Canis lupus familiaris: one gene and its partners. The protein of the gene in region 1 interacts with the protein of each later gene in a biochemical or structural test. Links are inferred from orthologs where the notes say so. Each region holds a gene or a part of one and is shown in the gene's direction. Other genes may lie near its edges. The genes, in order: HDAC6, TUBB2A and ISG15.

Evidence for each region.
Region 2: of the proteins of HDAC6 (region 1) and TUBB2A, one has a biochemical effect on the other in vitro, tested with the Homo sapiens proteins (2 studies listed by BioGRID). The link is inferred for Canis lupus familiaris from reciprocal best matches to the Homo sapiens genes HDAC6 and TUBB2A.
Region 3: the proteins of HDAC6 (region 1) and ISG15 form a complex in vitro, tested with the Homo sapiens proteins (3 studies listed by BioGRID). The link is inferred for Canis lupus familiaris from reciprocal best matches to the Homo sapiens genes HDAC6 and ISG15.

The regions. Positions count from the first base shown.
Region 1 is NC_049260.1:42,208,437-42,212,184, forward strand, and holds the start of HDAC6 (histone deacetylase 6), read left to right. Parts: upstream 1-1,002; 5' UTR 1,003-1,019; coding exon 1,020-1,196; intron 1,197-1,286; exon of another isoform or gene 1,287-1,305; intron 1,306-1,361; exon of another isoform or gene 1,362-1,501; intron 1,502-1,918; coding exon 1,919-2,041; intron 2,042-2,121; coding exon 2,122-2,250; intron 2,251-2,387; coding exon 2,388-2,476; intron 2,477-3,748.
Region 2 is NC_049256.1:4,737,215-4,740,962, reverse strand, and holds the start of TUBB2A (tubulin beta-2A chain), read left to right. Parts: upstream 1-1,437; 5' UTR 1,438-1,539; coding exon 1,540-1,596; intron 1,597-3,598; coding exon 3,599-3,707; intron 3,708-3,748. UniProt on the Homo sapiens protein: Tubulin is the major constituent of microtubules, a cylinder consisting of laterally associated linear protofilaments composed of alpha- and beta-tubulin heterodimers.
Region 3 is NC_049226.1:56,711,785-56,714,461, forward strand, and holds ISG15 (ubiquitin-like protein ISG15), read left to right. Parts: upstream 1-896; 5' UTR 897-1,032; coding exon 1,033-1,053; intron 1,054-1,489; coding exon 1,490-1,993; 3' UTR 1,994-2,050; downstream 2,051-2,677.

The DNA.
Region 1 (3,748 bases):
TCAGCATGCTGAACCCCAGACCGCTTATCTCTTCAGCCCCAGCCTACAGCCCGGTAGGAAATGGTGAAGAATGAGAGAGGGAGATTAGGAGGACAAACCGGCCTCCTGCGGAGCTGATATTTAGACATCTAGACAAGGGGTGTGAGGGAGTTGGAGGGGCACACGGGTGCAACTCCCCCTACTTCCCAGGCACACGCTTTCCCTACAGCTTGGGGGCAGAGGTTACCCAATGGAGAGGGCTGGAGGGAGAACTGCCATCCAAGAAAAACTCTCCATGAGTCTATTCAAGCCCCGGGCACTATTATCACAATTTGCCAGATGAAGAAACCGAAGCACATAGATGTTCAGCAACTTGCTAAGGGTCACATGGCTAAGTCGTGTAACCTCAGTTTCCTTATCTCCAAAGCAGCCTTAATAATAGGAACTACCTCACAGAATTGTGGCTTACGACAGTGCCTGTCACATATTACTTGCTATCATCACGACTGCACTCAGTAAACCTCCTTCCATCCTACCAACCATATTCCCAGCAGAATAGCAGCAGCTAACATTTAGTGAGTGCTTCCTGTGGGCCACCTTAGTGAATATTAACTCGGAAAAGCCTCACAGCATTTAACATCGTCACCACTCCCATTCTGGCCACCACCAGCCATCCTCCAATATCCACCGCGCTCCGGGGCCCTGCCGCCGGCCCGCCCGCGCTACGTCATCACAGCGCGCCGCGCAGGAAGCCACCGGGAGAAAAGAAACCGCCCCTTCCTAATTCCCTCGCTTGCTTGTTTGCTCTCTTGAGTCATCGTACAGGACAACTGGCGCGGGTCCGGAGGACTCCTAAGGTGACCGGACAAGGATCGAGAGACAGCGGCCACGGGAGCCAGGACGGCAGCGGCGGTGGTTGGGGGAGGGGCGGGCTAGAGCCTGAGCGCCACCTCGAACCGCGGGGGCACGCTTCACGCAGGCGCAGCACAGCCAGCGTCGCGCGCTGACGTACCCACGGCGTTTGTGAGCTCGCGGGAAGTATGGCCCGCCTGAAGGGCGCGGCCCTGAGCACCGACACACAGTGTAGGCGGATCGGGGCGGGCAGTAGAGAGACCGGCCCAATGGAAAAGAGGGCCTCAAGCACCCGCCGTCCCGCAGGTCGCCAGGAATTTGGCGGCGGGAGCCCTGGGCGGAGTTTGAAAAAAGGGCTGCGCTCAGTGAGTGGAGCCGAAGGGATTGGTCGGCGTCGGCTGTGGGGTCGGAAGGGGGAGGGGACTGGTGGGAGGCGGCCTGAAACTGGCTGAAGGGATTTGCTGGAGCTTGAGGGTAGGGTTTGAGCAGGGGGTGGGATCTGGTGGAAGGAAAGGGGCAGTTCCCCGAGGAGCGAGGCTCGTTGAAACGTTAGGGGCGGGATCTGGCCAAGTGGAAGGTGTCGGTCCAGCCTGATAAGGGGTGGAGTTAAGTGGATCGTTAAGGGTGGAGTCGGGGCCGGAGCGGGGTCTGGGTCTGGCTGAGTGAAAGGGTGGGTGATTATTCTGGGAGATTAGCTGGAAGGGGCAGATTTGTGAAGGGGTGGGGTCTTGGCGAGGCTTGGAGGAATGAAAGAGTCTGGGAATGTGATTTGGGGGAGCGGAAAGGGCGGTGATTAGCTGGAAAGGGCCGGCGCTAGGACGGACTGAGCCTGGGGACTTATTGCTCCGCGAAAGGGCAAGACTTTTAAAGGGGAAAGAATAGTGTTAAGGGGGTGGAGCCTACTGGGATGGGCGGGACCAGGTGGAATGGACACCCCAGTGGAAGGAGAAGGCCTTGAAAGGGGTGGAGTTTAGAAGGCGGTGGGGAGTAGGATAGCAGAAGGGATGGAGACTGTATAGGGGGCGGGGTCTGGGAGGCCCTCAGGGCACTCCAGCCTGTTCGTAGTCACCGCCACCCCACCCCCCAGAGCCGCATCAGGGGTGAAGTCTCCCCGACCATGACCTCCACCGGCCAGGATTCCACCACAACCAGGCAGCGAAGGAGTAGGCATAACCCCCATTCGCCCCCCCACGACTCCAGCGTCACCTCGGTGAGGCCCCAAACCTGCCTGATGGGGGGGAGGAGCAGTAGGCCGTGCCCTGGAATCTGACCCTTCTCTCTGTTTGGCAGAAGCGAGGTGTTAAGAAGGGTGCCTTACGCCACTCCAGCCCTAGTCTAGCAGAGGTAAAGAAGAAAGGCAGAATGAAGAAGCTCAGCCAAGCAGCAGAGCAAGACCTAATCGTGGGCCTGCAAGGGCTGGTGAGAGTGGCCTGGGCTCAATGGATTTAGCTTCCTGTGACAATCAGAATCCTGTGGTTCTCCCTCCTGGACAGTGTGTGTTCCTTCTGACTCGGGCCCAAAGTGGATCGGTTTCTCCCCTTTTTTTCTCCCTGCAGGATCTGAACCTTGAGGCCAAGACACTTTGTGGCACTGGCTTGGTGTTTGATGAGCAACTAAATGAATTCCACTGCCTCTGGGATGACAGGTGAGGCTGGCTCCTCCAGACGGTACCCTAACCACAAAAATAAATGCCCTTAGAGCCCATTAGCAAGAACGAAGCCATTCTTATGCTAGCCTGGAGACTGGCAGCAGATGATTTCAAGTGGGGAGGCTTAGGCTTGAAAAGATTCTTTTCATTTGGCCAACACCTCCTGAGTATGCACTGTGTTCCAGGAGTTGGTGATACAGACATGTCAGACCAGACAGACAGGGCCCCTTCTCTAGGAGCTGTTAGTTGAGTAGGAGAGCAAATCATTAAACAGCCAACAGCAGTGTGAAGTATTTAACGAAGGATAACCCCAGACTAGGGGATTCAAGAGTGTTTGATAGAGGACCCTAGACTAGCATTCCGGGGTTCGCAGAAGGCTTCCTTGAAGAAAGGATATTTCATGCAGAAATGCAAGAATTTATACCTCCCATTTGCTCACACATGTTGTAATTCTTTTGGCTCTGTGTTGGAAATGTATTCAGTACCTGACCTCTCCTTACCACCTCCACTGCCACCACCACCATCACTTACCTAGACTTGGCCGAGGCCTTCTCCTTGGCTGCCTGCTTTCACCCTCACCCTGCTGTCTGTTCTCCACATGGCAGCCAAAGAAAACCAAAATACGTGTGAGATGATGTTGTCTCTCTCTTTTTAATTACTTTTTAACTGAAGTATAGTTGACATACTGCATTACATTAGTTAGAGTCCTGTTCTCTTTTTTAGAATCCTTCAAGGGTATACCATTGCCCTCAAGGTAAAGTCCAGATTCTTCATTCTGGCCTATAACATACCACGTGATCTGGCTCCACACCACTTCAGTGACCTCATCAGCCAGTCACTCGCGTAGCTTCATTTCACCCACACTGGTCCCCCTGCTGTTCCTCCAGCATCGCCAGGCACTCTGTCAGCTCGGGTCTTTACCCTGGCTGGCCCCCTCTTCCAGAAACTCATTTCCACCTCCTCCTCACCCAGTTAACATTCCCATCTCAAGGAGACTTGCTCCAAGAGGTCTTTGTCTGCTCCCCTTCCCCCACACCTGCTGTTGGAGGCCTTCCTAGTCTATATCATTGTTTGCTCATTTATCACACTTATGTGTGTATGTCCCCTCTCCCAACAGAAGACTCATGATGGCAAAAGATTTCATTCTCGAATACATGTCTGCCATCTCCTGAGGAGCTAGGGATGCCGTGGTAGACAAAACAAACAGAACCCCTGCCTCTGGGAAGATTGCATTTTAGAGGGGGAAGAGAGAGTCTGTGTGTGTGTGGG
Region 2 (3,748 bases), on another chromosome or scaffold:
ACCAACCCGGCAAGCAGGCTTCGGGCCTACAGCAGCAGCATCACCTCGGCTTTTATAGGGTATTCTTGATCCATAAATTTGACCTGCTTTCATCCAGAGCTTCTCATTTCCTACTCACAAAGCTGGCGGCAGGGCACCTATAATTATCATCATTTTATGGTTGGAGAAACTGGCCCCAGAGAGGAAAAGGAGTATGTGCAGGGAAACAGAAACCGTCCCCAGGTCCCCGCTCACCTGGCCCAACGCTCAGGATCATCGTTGAGAACAATCAAGACTGGATGTTACCTCACCCTGACCAAGCCTTTAAAACTCACCTGGGCTTTGTCTTTGTGGAAGGACTCGAGGTGCCTTCACTTACTGGCTTTGTAGCTACTCAGCTCTTTGAGGCTCCTTCGCCGAAATTGGGACAGTAATTACGTCTACTCTAGAGCAGGGCTGTTCACTGGAAATACAATGTGAGTCACTCAGGTAACAAAATTTTCCAGTAGTCGCTACTAGTGTAGTAGTCATTAAAAAAAATATTCTATTTATTTATTCATGAGAGACACAGAGAGAGAGAGAGGCAGAGACCCAGGCAGAGGGAGAAGCAGGCTCCATGCAGGGAGCCCGACCGGGGTCTCCATCCAGGGTCTCCAGGATCACGCCCTGGGTGGAAGGTGGCACTAAACTGCTGAGCCACCCGGGCTGCCCTTGTAGTAGTCATTTAAGAAGGTAAAAGAAAAAAAAATGAATTAAAACCTATATCCAAAATAGTATTTTGATGTGTTATCAATATGCAAAATTAGTAAGTCGCTTAACTTACTGAGTCCATGAAATGCAGTGACTGACTTACACGCACAGCGCCTAGGGCACATCTCAAGCGTTCAGGAGTCGCGCGTGGTGGCCTTTGAACGGGGCTGCGCGGCCCTGGAAGGAGGCCGCGGGGATTAGGTGACACAGCGCGTGGAGGGCTCGGGATCCGGGGCTGAGGCCCCTGGCATCCTCCGTGGCACGCAGGCCCCGCGCAGAACTCGCCGCAGCTGCACGGCCCTTACCAGGGCCCAAGAGCCCAGGGGATGCGCGGGGCCAGCGCAGCCCCTCGCACACCCACCGTCTTCCCGACGCGGTGGCACCTGCGGTCCCCGGAGCCCCTCCCCCTAGTCCGTCCCGCACCCTGGCTGCGGATCCGCACCTGCTCCAGGCCCCGCGCAGGCAGGAGCCCCGCACCCCGCCGAGGCCCCTCCCCCGTCTGGGACCCGCGCCCCCAGCCCGCCTCGGGCGCCCGGAGCCACGGGAGGGGGCGCCGGCAGCCGAGCCCCGCGCCCGGCCAGCCCCGCGCCGCGCACCTCGCACCGCGCCCCGGCTCCCCCTCGCGGTGCCGCAGTCCCCGCCGCCCCGCCCCCCGCCCCGCCCCATTACGTCACCGCGGGCCCGGCGGGGGCGCCTCCCGCGCTATAAAGGGCGGGGCGGGGGGCGGCGACTGCTCTCTGCTGCGGACTCCGCCGGCTGCGCCGCGCTCTGCTCCCCGGGCCGCGCCTCCGCCCGCCTGCAGCCCGCACCATGCGTGAGATCGTGCACATCCAGGCCGGCCAGTGCGGCAACCAGATCGGCGCCAAGGTGGGCGCGCCCGGGGCCCAGGGTGCGGACCCGGCGGGGGCGGGGAGCGGGCGGCGGGCTCCGAGGGATGCGGACCCCGGCGGGGGCGGGGGAGAGGGTGGCGGGACCTCAGGGTGCGGACCCGGGCGGGGACGGGGAGGGGGCGGCGGGACCTCAGGGTGCGGATCCGAGTGGAGGAGGGGGAGGGGCCGGCAGGACCTCAGGGTGCGGACCCGGCAGGGGAGGGGGAGGAGCGGCGGGACCTCAGGGTGCGGACCCGGCGGGGGCGGGGAGGGGGCGGCGGGCTCCGAGGGATGCGGACCCGGCAGAGGAGGGGGAGAGGGTGGCGGGACCTCAGGGTGCGAACCCCGGCAGGGGAGGGGGAGGGGCGGCGGGACCTCAGGGTGCGGACCCCGCAGAGGAAGGGGAGGGGGCGGCGGGACCTCAGGGTGCAGACCCGGGCGGGGACGGGGAGGGGGCGGCGGGACCTCAGGGTGCGGACCCCTGCAGCGGAGGGGGAGGGGCGCCGGGACCTCAGGGTGCGGACCCGGCAGGGGAGGGGGAGGAGCGGCGGGACCTCAGGGTGCGGATCTCTGCAGGGGAGGGGGAGGGGCGCCAGGACCTCAGGGTGCGGACCCGGCAGGGGAGGGGGAGGGGCGCCAGGACCTCAGGGTGCGGACCCGGCAGGGGAGGGGGAGGAGCGGCGGGACCTCAGGGTGCGGATCCCTGCAGGGGAGGGGGAGGGGCGCCAGGACCTCAGGGTGCGGATCCCGGCAGGGGAGGGGGAGGGGCGGCGGGCCCCAGGGTGCGGGCGGGGGCGGGGGCGGGCCGGGGCCAGGTGTGGGCGGCCGTGGGCCCCGGTGGCGCCTGTGAGCGCGGCGGGGAGCGCCCCGACCTGCCCGGGCCCGCGGAGCCGCAGTGGGGCTCACGCTCACGGGCCCTTAGGACTCCCGGCCGCTGCCCAGGCGCTGGGGTGGGCGAGCCGCCGCGCTGCCAGTGGCCTGGAGCGCAGCTTAATTCGATTGTGTATGTCCCTCTATAGTTTGAATGAAAAAATGCAGTGTCATTGGGGTGGCGAGCTAGAGGGACTTCTTTTTAGGTTACAAAGACCAGGATGCTCGGTGCCTACAGGGGCGCCATGGACGCCGAGCCCCACTGTCGCGGGCCGCTGCCTGTGGGCTGGTGGCAGGTGCGGGGCCCTGGCTCGGACCGCGGCGGGGGGGGCGGGGCGGGGGGGTGAGGCCGCGGCTCTCCTAGGGCCCGGCGCTCCCCTCCGCACCCCCCGCCTCTTCCCCCGCCTCCCCCCGCCTCTCCTTCATCCCCCCCCCCCCCCGCCGCTGCACATTCACACGGAGCTGCGCCCTCCCAGCGCCCGGCTCCAGCCACCGACCCCCGCAGGGCTGCCGCTCCCACTCTCCTCTCCCCATCCTCCTCCCTTCTTCCCTCCCTCTTCTCCCCCCTCCCCCCCTACTCTGTAGGGCTGCCGCTCTTCCGGCCCCTGCCCTTTCCCCCCCTCCGTCCTCACCGCTACCCTTCTCCTCTCCCCCACCCCTCCCCACCGGCCCCCGCGGGGACAGGGCGACCCGCCCGCTGCTGTCCGAGGTCCCGGCTGCTGCCTGCAGGGCTGGGTGGGGTTTGCACCCCGAGCAGGAGCACGCATCCCCGAGGCAGTGGCGGGGCGGGGTCTCCGCAGGCCTCCCTGCCCATCAGGGGCGGCTGTGACCTTCAGCCCTGCCGGGGGCGCCCGCCTCCCCAGCATCCGGGGCTCTCCCTGCCGGGGCCTCCGCCGCGCCCCCCCTCCCGGGGCAGTGCCCCTGGCAGCCTGGGGGAGGGGCCGCCGCCCTGCGCCCCGACGAGCCCCCCTGCGGCAGCCCCCGCAGCACACGGGTGCAGCTCTAGGCCCCCCCCCCCCCCCGCCCCCACGGGGCCCCTGCTCCAAGGACAGGGAGGGGACCCAGGGGCCGCCCTCCTCACTGGCATCCAGGGTGCCAGCCCCCTCCCTGACCTGTGTGTCCTTCCCCAGTTTTGGGAGGTCATCAGTGACGAGCACGGGATCGACCCCACCGGCAGTTACCATGGAGACAGCGACTTGCAGCTGGAGAGAATCAACGTGTACTACAATGAAGCTGCAGGTGATGAGCCATGCTTTCTGCCCAGTCCCCCTGCTTTGCAC
Region 3 (2,677 bases), on another chromosome or scaffold:
AAGTGTGACATAGTATCTCATTGTGATTTTGATCTAAGTTTCTCTAATGACATTTCCCTAAGGACTAATGATGTTGAGCATCTTTTCATGTGTATTTATGTATTTTCTACAGAGAAAGATCTATTCAAACACTCGCCCAATTAAAAAAAAAAGATTTATTTATCTGTTTATTTGAGAGAAAGAGAGAGCAGGGGAGAGGCAGAGAGAAACCTGAGCAGACTCCAGGCTGAGTGCAAAGCCTGACATGGGGCTCAATCTCACAACCCTGAGATCATGACCTGAGCCAAAACAGAGTTGGCCACTTAACCAACTCTGCCACCCAGGTGCCCCCATTTGCCCAATTTTTTATTGAATTGTTTATATTTTTTATAGTTCAGTTCTAAGAGTTCTTTATATGTTATGGACACCAGATCCTTATCTGACTTATGATTTGCAAATATTTTCTTCCATTTTGAGAAAAGCCTTTTCACTTTCTGGATAGTGTTCATGAATTCATTTTTATAGAAAATAAGAGATATATTTCTTTCATTAAACCAACAAACAAAAAACAATCTGAAGAAATACCATCCTAAACCAATGGTGATAATCTCTGGGTAGTTTGGATTGTCACTTGTTTGTTATTTCTGAATTAATTGCAGCAATGTTTTCCAAACTTACTAATTTTGCAAATTGGTAAATGGAAAGTGAATGTTTCCAGTCATTAGTTTCTGTTATGACTTCCGTGTAGCTTGTAAAGAACCTGAAGTGCTAGACACTTACGGGGGTTTCTGAATGAACACAGGGTGAGAGCATTGTCCTGAGTCTCTGGGCAGGTGGGTAATCCCAGGTCTTTATTACTGTTTTGTTTCTGCTACTCACAGGAGCATTCCCTGGGAAAAGGAAACTGAAACCGAAGCTAAATTCAGCCAATGGTCAGGCTCTCTCCCCAACACTGCCCTCTGACGTGAACAGCTCAGGTTCATAAAAGGGCTGAACAGGAGAGTAGCTGCAAGCTGAGAGGCAGCCAATCCATCTGTGCCCCTGGAGGACTTGATGCTGGAGCCTACAGCCATGGTAAGGGGTGTTTGACAGGCGGGGGGCAGGTGGGCTCTGTACCAGGCTCTTTTCCTATCTTACTGCTAGGGTCTTCCAAGGGTGGAGCCAGGCAAGTGGAGGTGCTCAGAGCTCCCCCAGGTCCCTAAGCATGAGGGGAGGGGCAGGGCCGCTTCTGAGATTGAGGTCTGGGTCTGGGAAAATGTGTTTTGCCAGTGTTGAATTCTGAGATCCCTTGGCATTGGCACAGGAAGGCATCTTAGTGGGCTGAGGAGGTGAGGTGATGGTCCTGGGGGATGGGCCTTTCTTCTGGAAATGCTCCCTGCTTCCCTCTAGTGCCTGGGGTTCCTTTCCTGGTGGGTGGGGAGGAGAGCACAGCTTTCCCTGTGGCCAATGATCTGCATGTAGAGGCTCCAGGACTGATGGTGAGGTTTATGAGTCTGTGTGATGCCCACAGGCTGGGAACCTGACTGTGAAGATGCTGGGAGGTGAGGAGTTCCTGGTGCCCCTGAGGGACTCTATGCTGGCATCAGAGCTGAAGCAGCAGATAGCCCTGAAAACTGGCGTGCCTGCGTTCCAACAGCGCCTAGCTACCCACCCGGCTGGCACAGTGCTGCAGGATGGGATCTCCCTCATCAGGCAGGGCCTGTGTCCTGGCAGCACAGTCCTGCTGGTGGTGAAGAACTGTAATGACCCCCTGAGCATCCTGGTGAGAAACAATAAGGGTCGCAGTATCGCCTACGAGGTCTGGCTGACACAGACTGTGGCTGAGCTCAAGCAGCAAGTGTGCCAGCAGGAGCACGTGCAGGCTGACCTGTTCTGGCTGACTTTTGAAGGGAAGCCCATGGAGGACAAGCACCAGCTGGGGGAGTATGGTCTCACACCCCAGTGCACTGTGTTCATGAATTTACGCCTGCGGGGTGGTGGTGGGAATTGGGCAGGACCAGGAGGGCAGTGCTGAGAGCCACCCACCCAAGTCCTTGACCAAGTATGGGTAATAAAAGTTGACAAAATTAAATGGCTCCTTCTGCTTGGTCCTTCCCCCAGCATCCCTCACTTCTGCATCCCTGCTGATGTGGACAGGGAGGGACAGAGGAGGAAGTGGGATAAGGAGACCCAGGGACGCTGGGTGGTCAGTAGGCTGGGGTTGCCAAGTTAAGGGACAAGACTAGTGAGATCAAAATAGAGATCTACTCCCATCCACACCTTGGACAAATTGAAGATGTCCCCACACCTTCGGGAAGTTAACTTCTAGAGAAAGAAAAGAGACACATCTGCTGGAGCCCACCTCTATCTCCAGATTGAGCCAGAATCAGCCTTTGCACAACTGGTTCCCATTCCCTACATCTGGGTCAGCAGACAGTATGGTGGGGTGGGGGGAGGTGTGGTCAGGTTCCTGCTGGGACCAGCACCCCTGGAAATGGTGAGAGGGTGAGGCCCCAGAGCCTGCCTCGGTGGGCTGTGAAGCAGGCTCCTCCAAACCAGCCAGGGCCCTGGGGCCTCATGGCCCTCCAGGATCCATCAGCCTGCCCTGTCCAGTCTGCATTGGTTTAGGGAGGGGTACGGGCAGGGCCTTGAACACACACATCACTGTCCCACAAACTGCTAAACGGAGACTATTCTCCAGCAGATACACCTTCCTTCA